Callithrix jacchus: one gene and its partner. The protein of the gene in region 2 purifies or fractionates together with the protein of the main gene of each other region. This does not show direct contact. Links are inferred from orthologs where the notes say so. Each region holds a gene or a part of one and is shown on either strand. Other genes may lie near its edges.

What was found.
Region 1: the proteins of PTPRR (region 2) and MAPK14 purify together in Homo sapiens (affinity purification with mass spectrometry; 4 studies listed by BioGRID and IntAct, counting the BioPlex papers as one, with this or other methods). This does not show direct contact. The link is inferred for Callithrix jacchus from reciprocal best matches to the Homo sapiens genes PTPRR and MAPK14.

Annotation. Positions count from the first base shown.
Region 1 is NC_133505.1:44,334,240-44,342,159, reverse strand, and holds the start of MAPK14 (mitogen-activated protein kinase 14), read right to left. Parts: upstream 4,436-7,920; 5' UTR 4,064-4,435; coding exon 3,948-4,063; intron 3,774-3,947; exon of another isoform or gene 3,762-3,773; coding exon of another isoform or gene 3,721-3,761; intron 1-3,720. UniProt on the Homo sapiens protein: Serine/threonine kinase which acts as an essential component of the MAP kinase signal transduction pathway.
Region 2 is NC_133510.1:73,187,188-73,194,537, forward strand, and holds part of PTPRR (receptor-type tyrosine-protein phosphatase R), read right to left. Parts: intron 4,074-7,350; coding exon 3,963-4,073; intron 2,330-3,962; coding exon 2,172-2,329; intron 1-2,171. UniProt on the Homo sapiens protein: Sequesters mitogen-activated protein kinases (MAPKs) such as MAPK1, MAPK3 and MAPK14 in the cytoplasm in an inactive form.

The DNA.
Region 1 (7,920 bases), on a different chromosome or scaffold from region 2:
CACACAGGCTGCTACTTGTTTTTTTACAATACTTAGTATAAATTAAAATAATATAGGCTTAAAATAATTTGTAAATGTTACACAACAAAGTATACCACACTTTAGAGCAATAAAATTAGGAAGCTGACAAATACTTCAATAACTATTTTATTCACTGAAATATTTTATTCATTTATTTTCATTCTTGAAAATAAAATTCAGGGGCTGGGTGTGGTGGCTCATTCCTATAATCCTAGCACTTTTGGAGGCCAAGGTGGAAGGACTGCTTGAGGCCAGAAGTTTGAGAGCAGCCTGGGCAACACAGTGAGACTCTATCTCTACAAAATGAATAAATAAATATTAATAAAATAAAATTCAGAGAATTTTTTTTTTTTGGAAGTAGAGTTCAGGTCCAGTTCAAGGAGTCACATGAAAAATTCTGTGCCATTACTTTATAGTTATAACTCCTATCTGACCTAAAACAGTAGTATCACCAACATGATTGCTAATCTTTCTTATCAGACTTGAGTCCAAATTCCCTAAATTATTTGGATTCTAATGGACTGTTATTCCCTAAAATCAAATCTGCTCTCAAAAAATGAAGACAGAGGTCCAGACACGGTGGCTCACCCCTTATCTCAGCACTTTGGGAGGCCAAGGCAGGCAGATCACCTGAGGTCAGGAGTTCAAGAGCAGTCTGGCCAACATGGTGAAACCCTGTCTCTACTAAATATACAAAAATCAGCCCAGCATGGTGTTGCACACCTGTAATTCCAGCTACTTGGGAGCCTGAGGCAGGAGAATCACTTGAACCCAGGAGGCAGAGATTACAATCAGCAGAGATGGTACCATTGCACTCCAACCTAGGCAACAGAGTGAGACTCCATCTCAAAAAAAAAAAAAAGAGTAACATAGGCTCCAAAGTAGAGTCTAAAAGAAGTTCCAAAAAATGTTTTCTGCCATACCTAAAAAGGTACTCATAGAAAGAACAACTCCAGGCCAGGCTTGTAATCCCAGCACTTTGGGAGGCCAAGGAGGGCAGATTACTTGAGGTCAGGAGTTTGAGACCAGCCTGGCCAACATGGAGAACCCTATCTCTACTAAAATACAAAAATTAGCTGGGTATGGTGGCAAGCACCTGTAATCCCAGCTACTCAGGAGGCTGAGGCAGGAGAATCACTTGAACCCAGGAGGCAGAAGTTTTAGTGAGCCGAAATAGTGCCACTGCATTCAAGTCTGGGCAACAGCATGAGATTTCTTCTCAAAAAAAAAAGAAAGAACGAACACTTCAAATAACTACTCTGAATCTGTGAATAAAATAACATTTACTTGTAAATCTAAATTGTGATATTTCATTCCAACATTAGTTATATTGGTTTATTGTCAATTGTCATATAATTTCAGTTGTATTTTCCTTTACCAATATGCTGTAGGTTACATCTTAAATCCCTTTAGTAGAAATACTACTAAAGAAACAAGCAAATAAAAAAACTCTGCCTCCCTGGAAAGACACACAAGACATTTAACAGTGCTTGTCTTTAAGAGAGTAGCCGGGTGCAGTAGCTCTCGCCTGTAATCCCAGCACTTTGGGAGGCTGAGGCAGGCAGATCACAAGGTCAAGAGATCCAGCCCATCCTGGCCAACATGGTGAAACCCCTGTCTCTACTAAAAATACAAAACTTAGCTGGGCGTGATAGCATGCGCCTGTAGTCCCAGCTACTCAGGAGGCTGAGGCAGGAGAACTGCTTGAACCCGGGAGATGGAGGTCGCAGTGAACCGTAATTGTGCCACTGCACTCCAGCCTGGTGGCAGAGCGAGATTGTCTCAAAAAAAAAAAAAAAAAAAAAAAGAGACAGTAGAGTAACTGGAGAACAAAAAGGAAAGGAGACTTTTCACTGAATACCTTTTTAAAGCTTTCAAATTTTATCCAATGTCAATGCACTACCTATTTTTTAAAACCTGTTCAATAAAAGTACTTTTAAGTGTCAGATACTGCTGACTTCTATACCACAGAAAAATATACCACTAAAGAAATGTGGAGTTAATTTTAATGACACTTCACTGTAAATCTGGATCTCCTGTTCCAGTTCAGAGCGAGTCACCAACAGCAGTGAACTCTTGCAAGCAATTCAATTGGAGTTTCCCAAACCCTCTACAGTTGACTTATTCTGCTGTATCACTCCATTAAAATTTAAATAGCATTGAAAACAAAAACACGACACTACAGAAATGAATGTGTCAATTCAAGAAAGAAAAAAATGGAAAGCTATTAATGAGCCATAAAATATTAAAGGAGCAATGATCCAAATACATCTTTGAAAATTAGCAATTCAAGTAGATATATATACGTATATACTGCATGTAAAATGCTGTAAATCAACTACACACACACACACACTCTCTTTCTCTCTCTCTGAATGTAAAATGTTGCAAATTCCTTTAAAATGTAAACTGACACACTGTAAAAATGAGAGAAAGATGTCAAGCACGGTGCATTCTACAACATAACTTAAGCAGCTTGAACTAGAAAATGCAACATGATCTGTTGCTGGACACAATTGCACAATCTCAATTACCCAGAAGATTCTACCAAACAGGAAATTCATGATGTGACTTCAGGAAACACAGCAATCATATTTAAAGATTAACACATCCAAAAGCCTGGAATTTGTTCCAAAACAAAAAACGATTTTACAGGCCCCTTTTCAAATCTTGCATAAACACGAATTACTAAAACACAGAAAAAGCTAACCGTTAAATCTGATATTTAGTTTCAGATCCATAGCTTTCAAATGATACAAAATCTAAAATACAGGGTATAAAACCTTGGAAGTTAGAGGTCAGTTAGTGAAATATTTCAGGTCTGGAAATCATATGATATCGACTTAATTTAAAACACACTCATAGTGTAAATTAAAGCTAAAAAGTATTTCTTCCCTTCCTTTTCTATGTGGTTCCATATCTTTACGAAAACCATCGTGTACCTCAAGCCATAAATGCAGATAATTCCCTGCAAACTCTCTGAGGGACTTTTAAACCACAGTATTCGCAGGAATTATCACAACAAGAAATTTACAATACCTCCCAGCACTGTTAATAACTTTTTGATCTTGAGGGCACCTCACAGATCTGAATCTTTCTTGCTCCAAAGGAGAAAATTGTTTTGTCGAACAATACTTAAATGAGCAGTGGTATGTGACTAATCAGTGAGGCTGCCAGTTTCTCAAGCTGCAGTGTTCTTGCAAGCATTACCACCGCCGCCCCTCCACGGAAAGGAAATACGCTTTCAACTGAATCGGAAACACACCACTCAAGCTGGCACAGTGCTCACTGAGATAAAGTCGGTATTTTAAGCTCTATGGATCGGTGCTAACTCAAGTGCGAATTCAAAAAGAACGCTTCTCAAGATGGGATTTCGACAGAGGTTTGCAAAAAAAGAAGGAAAAAAAAAGCCCGGAGAGAGCTCCCTTCCTGCTCAGTTTTGTTCAGATGACTGAAGTCTTCGGGTTGGCCTCTGCCCTTCTGCTTCTCCCGGGAGCTCCCCGAGCTTGTCTGCTCAAAGGACAGGCTCCCGCGTTCCAGCGTGGGCGCATCGCGGGAGAGGGTCCTTCTGCTCCAGGTCGGTAGGGAGACCCCCCAAGAAAGCAGCCCTGCCCCCGGCGCCTGCCGCCGAACAGCAACCCTCCGAGATGGGAAGGCGCAGGGTGCTACCCAGAACCGAGCTCCAGCACCACCACCTACCTCTCGCAGCGGACCTGAGTGCTGCACACGGTGGACCACATACCCGCGAGTGCAGGGCGAGGGGTGCAGGAGGTGCAGAACAGGCAGGGCTCGAAGGGCAGCAATGCCCTCCCCCGAGGAAAATTCCTGCCACTTGACGCAACGCTGAGCCGTGGGGCAGGCCTGGCCCTCGGGCGCGAGGGGCCACCCTGACCACAGCAGCCCCAGCGAGGCCCGGCGACACTCACCACACAGAGCCATAGGCGCCGGAGCCCACTGGAGACAGGTTCTGGTAACGCTCGGGCACCTCCCAGATTGTCTTGTTCAGCTCCTGCCGGTAGAACGTGGGCCTCTCCTGAGACATTTTCCAGCGGCAGCCGCCAGGCAAGAAGGTGGCCCTGTGGGGCCCCCGCCTGCACCCGCACCCTCTCCCCGGCCCTTGCTGCCCGCCCAACCGGGCGGGGACCTCGCGCTGGTCGCCCGCGCAGGTGCGGCTGCCGCGACCCCGCAGACTCCCGCGCGCGCGGCTGCTGTCAGCCGCAGCGGCTGGATGCGCCTCTGCGACTGGGGCAAGCCCGGTTAAGAGAAGGGACGCGCTCTGGCGCTCAAGGCTGCGCCCGCCGCGATATCCCTGCACCTTCGCCCCTACTAGGCCGACTCTGGGCTGCGTCGCAGGACTTCTGCTCCAGCTGCGCCCGCTGAGGATCCAGTGGTCCCGGTTCCAGAGCCAGCAAACGGGAGCCTCCCCGTACTCTCGCGAGAACAGCTCCTGGAACTCTCCGCGAACCGAGATTTTACCCAATATGGAACCTCTCCGCGGGCGGGGCTTCGTGAGAGGAGAATATGGGAGAAGCAATTCTCGCGAGAAGAGAGCAACAACTGTAGACCAGAGGCAGAAATTCCCCAGGGACTGTCTCCTTAAGGGCGCGAAGGAGCACTAGGGAAGAAAGAGATAAGCGGGCAGCACACGCCGCGCGCGCCTCACCGTGGCCGGCGGGGCAAATACCTGGCTCTGTGGTGGGAAACGAGAGGGACAAATAGCATGTTGGGGAAGAGCCAAAAGATCTTTAACAGAGAGTAGTTCCCAGCAGCTGAGCACCTGCTCAACAGAACCCCCAAATTCCAAAAAACACTTGCATAAAAAAGAGACAAGTTCCGGCCAGAAGGCTGCTGCATTCCCATCTGTTCAAGGACATGTGGTTACTCTTCAAGATGCTTGATGAAATCTGCCCCCCAAAACAAATGTCAACCTGCATCAAAGCTAGGCTCTCCATTCAAACTCTCCTAGTAGTTCTTAAACTTACACGCAGAAAAATCACTCTAGGAGTTTAAGATGCAAGTTCCCAGGACTCACAGGGAATCTAATTGGGTAGGTCAGAGGACGGCATCAAGAGCATGTATTTTTATAGTACATCTTAGGTGGTTCTGATTCAGGAAAGTCTCTGATATTTCCCTTTGAGAAGCATTTAAAAAAACCATTACACTGAAGACTTGAAACTGACTCCTATCCTGAAGAGCCATCAGTGAAGAGGATTTTAAGCCTTTAACTTAGGCCTCTTGGAGTAAGAAGAATAGGGCATGAGTCTCATCAAATTTAGGCAAGTCAATTGACCTTTCCTGAACCCTTAGTTCAGGAAAACCCTTAGGAATTTCTGCCCTGCATTCCCGATGAACAGAGTCATGTGTAAAAACTGAACAAGATAAATGTAAATGGGCAAGGCATTATAACCTCATGCCTACATCCATTATCAACCTACACCTATGCTAAAGCTTGTTACAATGAGCAGAAGAATCAGATCCTGTCTGATTCTCTTAGTTTCTTGTATTAGAAATAACTGGGTGCAAGCCAGGACATTTCTCATCATTTCCCGTGTCATACCTTGGAGGGCTCAGACTTTGCCTATCTTGTCCCAACATCTAGCACAGTGTCTAGAACATAAAGCATGTCCCATACGTATTTATTGAAAAATTATGAACAATCACCATGATTTCAATTTAGGAGGTGGTACAGGATCCTCAGTCCTCCTCAAGGAAAGCAACATAAAACCAGAAAACAGAGTCATGGGTGATTCATGGAAAGCTGTCTTGGATCCAATGTAGCTTAGCTGGAATTCTCTTATCTATAAAAACATAATGCTTGAGAATGTTCCAAACTAGGGAGGCTAGGAAGCTTTCTAAGATGTAATGGAGGGTGAAGGGGAAGTAAGAGTAAAAACATGATTGTGAAGAAGAGAGGGATGGGGTGGGGGGCATCAAGGGAATGAGGGGATGGTTACAAGGGGTGAGGAGGAAGGCTGGAAGTAGGAATCCTCAGAAATGCACATTTTTACCTTACAAATTGGTATGATGAGGTGAGGGCAAATAAAAGGATAAAGATAAAGTAAGCAGTATATTTGTATACTCATTCAACAAATGTGTATTAAATGCCTACTGGGTGCCAAGCACTTGTAGTTAAAAAGTAATTTAAAACTACAGTTGCTGCCTGTGTGGAGCTTACAATCGATGGGAGGGCAATCATTCAACACAAATTTGTTGAACACTTCCTATGTCCACCACACTGTTGTGGGCACTGATAATAAAACAGTTATTGAAAGGGATAAAAATCCCAGCCCTCATGGGGGTAAGACAATTTACAAAAAGGAATACATAAAGTGAATAATAAGGTAGACACTAACACAGTCATCAAACAAACAAGTGTAAAACTGTAACTGGGCCAAGCAGGAATACAAGGTGGAGTGAGAGACAGCGATGGGGACAGGGATAGGGTGCGAGGAGGGTAAAGGGAGTGAGTGCAGAGGGCAAATCTGCCTGCAGAGCAGAGATCTGGGCAGGAGGGTGTCAACCAGTGCTGGGAGCCAGGCTTGTAGGGAAGAGGGCCTATGGTTGGAGACCCGGGTGACCTTCCTAGCCTCTATTTCCTTTTAGGTCTTCTGACCTGAGGAAGGCTTAAGTCTTCAGGAGATGTTAGTGAATTACCGTCTGTGCAGTACACTTGTGCATTACTGTATGTTCAAAGCACGAGGCTGGGCACCAAATAGGCCCTCGATCAGGAATAGTAAAACCTCGGAGAGAGTAGGAGCGTTGGCGTACAGGTACCGAGGTTTACCAAGTACTGGCTCACGTATGAGGAGGGCGGCCCAGATACCCCTTTCCTGGCTCCCCAGCCCAGCTGTTCCTGCTATCCTTCCTCGTCCCCTCCCCCACTCTCATCTCCCGTCCACCGGGAACGCCGGCGGGATCGGCCGCAACGGTTCGGGAACCGCCGGTGTCCGCTTCCTCGGCGCCGCCAGCTAGGCGGGAGCCGTGTGAGACCCCAGCGCCCCACTCCGGCCCCCGCCAAGGAGCAGGTGAGCCGCTGCGGCTGCCGGGAGACTCCCGGGCGCCGGGAACTGAGGCGGTGAGCGGCGAGGCCAAGGCGGGTCCCCAGGCAGGGGCTGCGTGAGTCACCAGTAGGTACCCAGGTGTGCCGCAGGGCCAGGCACGTCACGGGCGCTCAGTCAATATCTGTGGAACGAATGAATGAATGAATGAATGTCGTCCCTGGGAGCTTGTCTTTCAGGTATTGTCTCTACTTTAAAAGGCCGTGTGGATGGCAATGACAAGAGACCGTGTGAGCATTTTGCAAGTTGCATCCTTTCAAATTCGCCTAATCTATATTGTCAAAAGCCCCAGAACTGATGTGCTGCCTGCACCCCACCGCCTACCCCATCCTTTTCCTTCCGAGGCCTGACTGCCCAGCCTTTCCTCCTCCTTTCAGTCCTCGCTGCTTTTGTTCATTTTCTTCCCTGCGACTGAATCCCCACCCCCACCTCCTTGCCCCTTTCTTTTCCTGTCAAATGCCATTTATGTGTCAGGGGCCCCTTCTGAAGCAGATGCCTTCTCCAGCACCCCCACCCCAATAATGAGCATCTCTCCAACACACCGTTACTCTCTCCACATCGCATGGAAGGCGGTTGTCCAATGTTTATGTGTCCAGTGGTCTCCCCTTAAGACCTGCCATTTAATTAGTCATCCCCGGCCACTAGCCAGAGTGACTGAAGGATCTAAAGGTCAGGCTCTTTGCTCATACCTTTTCTGTACTCCCAATACATTCTCCATAAAAACCAGGAGTACCAGCACGCCACTGTGCCCAGCTAATTTCTGTATTTTTAGTCAAAAGGGGATTTTGCCATGTTAGCCAGACTGGTCTTGAACTCCTGACCTTAGGTGATTCAACCATCT
Region 2 (7,350 bases):
TTTTAAAAAAAATAATAATTTGATGAAGACTATAAACTTCAACTCTTCAGAAAAATTCACATGAGTTTATATACTCAAATGTGCTCAAATAATTGCAAGGAGTTCACTGACCACTGCAATTTATGCGTGGGATCAAGGTTAGGGAATTTCGCTCTAGCTGTTCTTTTTCTTTTATTTTAAGACAGTATCTCGCTGTGTCACCCAGGCTGCTGGAGTGTGGTGGTATGATCTCTGCTCACTGCAACCTATGCCTCCTAGGTTCAAGTGATTTTCCTGCCTCCATCTCTCAAGTAGCTGGGAGTACAGGCCCTTGCCACCATGCTCGGCTAATTTTTGTATTTTTAGTAGAGGGGGGTTTCACCATGTTGGCCAGGCTGGTCTTGAACTCCTGATATCAAGAGATCCACCCGCCTCGGCCTTCCCAAGTGTTGGGATTACAGGCATGAGCTCCTGCACCTGATCCATTGACAAGCTTTGAGCAGAGACTTCATGTAAGGTGAGACGGAGAAGGGAACAGGTAGGCCATGGTGGTGGTGAGGGCATGGGGGAGTACGGTATGTGTGTGCATTTTACCAGCTACTTCTTAAATACATGGATGAGGTCATAAGGGCCTGAACTATAGTGGCTGGACAGGAAATGGTGATTATGAGAGAAGCTTTGAAGGGAAAGCCAATCTAGTCACTGATTAGATAGTGAGGCTGGAGTTAAAAGAAGGGCCAGAGAGAATTGTCAACATGAGATGCTGAGTGACTGGAAAAAAGATAGTCTTCTTAGAAATAGTAACAAGAAGGGGAGCTGGTTTTATAGGGGAAGTGACTAGTCCATTTCAGATATCCTGAGTGTTTAATGACTTTGGGTAGGGGATAGTTCCAGCCCTATAGCATAGCCAATTAGGCTGCTTTATTTATTTTTTTGCTCCAAGTTAAGTTTAGGGTAAGGCCAATGTTATCTACCTTTGAATAAATAGACACATAGTAAACTGTACTCTTAATTAAATCACATAATCTCAAAAAAGGAGGCTAAAATTATACTCTAAAATAATGTATTATATTTATTAAATATATTATCAAAAGCCATTTTAAGAGACCTATGTGGTTAAACAAAGCAACAAAAATTATTTTGAGAAAACATGAAGAATAAATGGGTGGCTGGGCATGGTGTCTCACGCTTGTAATCCCAGAACTTTGGGAGGCCAACCCAGGCAGATCACATTTGAGGTCAGGAGTTCAAGACCAGCCTGGTCAACATGGTGAAAGGCCATCTCTACTAAAAACATGAACATTAGCCAGGCATGGTGGTACATGTCTGTAATCCCAGCTACTTTGGAAGCTGAGGCAGGAGAATCATTTGAACCAGGGGGTGGAGTTTGCAGTAAACTGAGATGGTGCCACGGTGCTGCCCAGCCTGGGTGATGGAGTGAGACAATGTCTCAAAATAAATAAATGGTCGATCATATAAATTACCTTAAAAATGCTTGCTTCAGTTTGGTTACATTAAAAGGAAAACAAGGGGAAGGAGGTATGAGTTCCAGGAGGAGAGTTCTGAACTAGAGATGAGGGACAGGAACCACCACACGCCCTGCTGCTGTTGTTGGCCTGGCCTCTGGTGCTCTACGTTCTGTAACAGTACTTTGTTTTCCTTCGGTGAACTACCACTTGCTCACTTCTTATTTCATAAATTTGTTTCAATCTGTTTTTCCTGAGATAACTGTTAAAATAATTGACTGGTTTTCACCAAACTTGAAATGGTAATAAATGTTACCAAGATACAAACCAGGCAGAGTTCAGATGTCATCATGAAATCCCAGAAAAGCCACTGATGATTTAAAAAAATGCATTTTAATTCCTGGTCCTACAAGACTGATGAGACTAAATGAATCAGTATTTTAAAGCAGGTAACTGCTGAATAAGGTCTCCTGTTTACTGAGCCACTTATTTCGAACTTGTATTTCACCCGTTGTGTAATCATTGTTTTCCAAAAATGCCTCAAAACATGACTTCACTTCTGTCAGCATAATCTTGATTAAGACTCAAATATTAGGCAGTTAACCAATTTCAATAAATAATTTTCCAGCAAAGTCACATCCCGGAAGCAAAACCCACTTCTACCTGCTCTGTGACTTTATAAAGAATGGGCTATTGCTTAGACAGAAAGTACCATTCACGTCTTACCTGCAGTGGACAACCACAGGCCCTCGGCCCTGGGAAGCAAGTCTGTCTTCTTCCACATCCAGCATGAGCTGTAGGAGGGGCTGGGCACTGTCTGGAGTCTTGTGATCGGGCCATGAGGTGTACCAGTAATGCTTCACATGTTGGGTGTGACTTCCTTGCTGAAAATAGCAACAGGCACCAAATGCCTCATTCACTTGTGGAACTAAAAGTCATCCAAACCACAATGCTGGATGCCTTTTATCACCCCCATCTTGCTGGCAACTTATTTCTAGGTGGGAAAAAAATCTACAAGATTTTCGAAGAGTGCCCTTTTATTTTGAGAAGACTTTACTGTCCGTATCCTGATCTCGAAGTGAGAAAGTTTTACCTTTGTGAAGATTTGTATCTCTACCTATAGTTATAGTATAGTTCATACATGTAAGATATGCTAAATATATATTTAGCATATATATAATTTCTTTTAATAAACAAGATGGTAGGTGAAAATGTAGCCAAGAAAGAATGGGATATATTTTGTTTCCTGTTCCATGAGCATTCCTGACAAGTTATTATACACATATTAATAGAACACTTAATTTCATGTCAGTCATGCTATTACTTCTACACTCATCTCAAACTCCAGTATTTAATAGGAGTGAGGAATCCCAGCAATAAAGAAGCTACAGGAGGTCCCTCTATTGGAAACACTTTGGGCGAGGGCCCACACACATCATCTTGAAACCCAGCACAGGTGGGGGTGTGGTATGAACCCGGCACTCCACAATGTTTGCTGAAAAACAGATTTCGGTAAGTGCCTTCCTATTCCAAACTTCCCAATAAAATCCATCCCTGTAGCTCTGCCTCTGTTTTCTTCCTCTTTGTGATGATTTTGTCCCAGCAGTGAGGCTGCAGATAAGATCGAAATTTTTGGGTGATTATTCTCCAGAAGCAAAAGTAATACCATGGCAACGTTTCTCAGCATCTGCTGCCCAGGAGTTAAATAAGATAGTTTTCCTATGACATAATCTCATCTGGGGAAAATCCCTATAAATTACTGTAACTCCACGCTTCTGAAGATCTCATCAACACTTCAGGCTTGTCTTGCTTCCCACTGACACCCACAAGTGCAGATTTTCACTTTCACAGCTTCCAGGCCTCACTTAAAGCTGCTTAGACCAAAATGACATTAAAAAAAATCATGGCAGGGCCGGGCGCCGTGTCTCATGCCTGTAATCCCAGCACTTTGGGAGGCGGAGGTGGGTGGATCACGAGGTCAACAGATCGAGACCATCCTGGTCAACATGGTGAAACCCCGTCTCTACTAAAAATACAAAAAATTAGCTGGGCATGGTGGTGCGTGCCTGTAATCCCAGCTACTCAGGAGGCTGAGGCGGGAAAATTGCCTGAACCGAGGAGGCGGAGGTTGCGGTGAGCCGAGATCGTGCCATTGCACTCCAGAGCGAAACTCCGTCTCAAAAAAAATCATGGCAAAGTCTCCAGCACAGCCTTTAGTTAAAAGCTTTCAAAAGTTTAAATCAGAGATGTTTTATTAATGCAAATTAGAGGATCACAACATCCTACATAATGAATTTTCTTAACGTCTACTTACATTGATTTAATTATACTACATACTAATAGTAGTTGACAACAAAAAATACATAAGAGAATGATTATAGTTTCTCTTTGATCTTAAAACTATTTAATTTGCTTAAATTGAATTTGTAGTACTTATTAAGATAAATAATTTCAAAGTAGAAATGTAATCCTCTAACATCACCTACTTTGTAGATGGCTATAGCTACATAATCTTACCTTCAAGACAAGGTTTCGAATGGTGTAGTTATCACACTCATTTACACTGATAACCAGAACCTCCACTTTCCCATATATCCCTCTCTTTTCTGGCCAGTACAGCACACATTTCTGGGGGAGGGGAAAGAGAATACAGCAAACGTTAATAGCTTTTATTAGCCTTGGAGTACTTTTTATTTAAGCATCTCAAGAGTTTTACCTGATTAATTTAAAAAAATCAAATATCAATTTTTATAATTTTATAAATCTATTAAAACCACTGAATTATAAAGCTTAAAACAGCCAGATTTTATGGTATGTAACTTATATCTTAAGAGATTTTTAAAAAAGTATCAATTTTACATGTGCCTGTCAGTCACTGCTGACTCCATACAAAAAAAAGGCAAAATTTCCCAAAACTCCACAGAGAAATTAAGAACTAAGCTAAAATATTTAAGAATAAAGCAATTAAGATCCAAATATTAGAATTTATCCTGTGCTGACTAGAAATAAAAAGAATGTTTTCCCACAATAATTGAGGAAAGTTACATTTTCCTGCTTCATCAAACTTGTGTCTAATGAGAATATCTAATATGTTAGATGCCACAGAACCAAGTTTCCCTTATATGTAAGGCAGATATAATGACCATTAACACTCCTATGGTATTATGTTTTCCTTGACCAATGGTTTTTTTCACTTATGAAACTAATTTATAAAAAAGATGTTAAAAATATTTTTATAATGGACCCTCCTGAGGAGCTTAAAAAGAGTGATAATAATTATACTGCGAGCAAGGCAACATACATGGTGGTTCATGTGCAGACTTTGAACTCAGAGCCTGGGTCCAAATTTTGGTTCTACCATTCATTACCTGTGAATCCATGAACAAGATACCCAACTCCTTTGGTTATAGTTTCTTTATGATTTGCTACATAAAAAGTACTTAGGATAAAGCCAGGCACAGAATAAGCACTTAAAAACATATTATTATTATTGTTATTTAAAAACTTCTGGGTGATAGATTTTTGGCCCAAAGTGATTAGATCTTCATGCCCTAAACATTATTTTCATATTATTATATCCAGTTACTGGTTATATAAATTAAAATATATCCAATTTTTAATTATTAATTAAAAATTGCAAAGTGAGATTCAAGCATACATATAATGTCATATTATTTTGCTTTTTAAACTGCAAAATAACTTTTACCACAAATTTTGATGATAAAGAATGTAAAATGACAAACGTTGATGTTTCATTTTGAGTGCTCTTGGAAGCAATGTTAATTTCAGAAATAGTTAAATAGCACTGATTTTCTCCCAACCATCCACACATTTACATAGAAATTCTTTCACTTGTTGCCTTCAATCAGGACCTTTTAATACCCAGGACACTTGTCTCTTCACATCTATGTCAAAGGCATATGAACACACTTGACAAAAATTTAAATACTTATAGATTTAAAAGAGCAGCAAAAGACTCGCAAAGTTACAGAACTGAAGGAAAAGGCATGTAAAGAATCAGAAACATGCCTCCAGGGCTGTATCACGCTAAGTACCACTACCCTACATGCTAGCACAGTGAAGGAAGTCACTTCACCTAGGAAATCCATTTCTTTCATCCATTACAATAAAAGCACATTTACATCCTCCACATTTTGACCCTTTTTTCAAATGAAGTAAATTGTTTCCCTTTATTTACATGCCACCCAAGACTCTCAGGCTATCAGACCAAAAGGCTTACTCTGGCTGACTTTACATTAACATTAAGAGAAGAAATCTTTTTAAAATAGAGCAACTCATTACTCTCCAAATCTATGAGTTGCCAAATGTCTAAAATTTACCCACTTTGTTAAAGGTAATCATACTAACCAATTTGCCTGGTTTCTTTCAATGAAGCATCAATTATTTTGCTGTAAGACCCGAGCTACCGCGTATCTTAAAACCCATGCCTCCCGATGAGTCCAAGAAGAATGACAAAGAATCTTGAAAAAGTTATTGAACAAAGAAAGAGGCATTCATTCAGCAGTCCAGCAGTCTGTCGTACGTGCCCCATTGTCCACGATCAGACCTGAGCAGGAGGCCTCTCTTTAGGAAGGTGGCTCTCAAAACCAATAAGAAAAGCTGCAGGGCAGGAGCTTACTGTCTGTACCCTGATTCTTAATACTTACTTGAACATGCTTCTGCACCTACTTGATAAATGGAAATGTGCCTTGCTTCTCTCCCAAGCTTGCAGGGGCCTTCTTGAATGTTTTTCTTGACTTGTTACCAAAAAAGCAATTGGCAGCCAGCTCCCAGTAGACAATGCAGTGTGACTTGTTCATTCAAATAACCCTTAATTAGCATCCCATCTCCTCTCTGAGATACAATAGCATGTTTTTACACACTGAATACATTTTTCCCCCATTTAGATGACAGTAGAAAAAGAGACCAGATAAATGTGGGTACTTTTGAATATGAAGTGGGAAAGAGCTGCAAATGCAGTTGTTTCTGAGAGTACAAGTTCACGTTCAAATTATTTTCCTGTACAGCTTTCTAGGGTTTCTTTATTGTGGTGCTAACAGTGAGATAAAAGAGGCAGAAAATGCAAGGAAGAAAAACACTGGCTTACAGATAATACTGTGAAACCACATTCATTGTAGGTAATTCAAAATAGCATGCTGTTTAGCAGAATATAACCCCAAATCATCACTATTCTTTTGCTAACTAGGCTTATCCTTTCAGTAAAATTATGTATTAATTCTAAGAATCCATAATTTGGATTTCCAGAGGACTGTGTCTCTTGTGCAAACAATAATTATGAAACCCTGACTGAAAAGATTTTGGACATTAACCAGTTCTTTGTAATTGGTTTACAGCAATGTAGGATGTAACGCAAAGAAGTGCAAACTTTTTTTTTTGAGACAGAGTCCCATTCTGTCACCCAGGTTGGAGTCTCATTCTATCACCCAGGTTGGAGTACAGTGGCACAGCGCTGGCTTACCGCAACCGCCACCTCCCAGGTTCAAGCGATTCTCCTGCCTCAGCCTCCCGAGTAGCTAAGATTACAGGTGTGTGCCATCACACCCAGCTAATTTTTGTATTTTTAGTAGAGATGGGGTTTCACCATGTTGGCTAGGCTGTTCTCGAACTCCTGACCTCAGGTGATCCACCCGCCTCTGCCACTCAAAGTGATGGCATTACAAGCATGAGCCACCACGCCCAGCCGCAAATTCATGTTTTTATAATCTTTCTTTTTCCTTGATTCTCCTTCTGGCCCCCACCAACTTAGGGCTATTTGTGTTTAATGAAAAAGAAAGTGGTTTAACTGCCTGAAAAAAATCTATTTTTAAGTTATTTTCCTTTTAGATTTTGTATATTTAAGTATCAGATACTGCTCTATAAGCTAAACATCATCACATAGAATGTG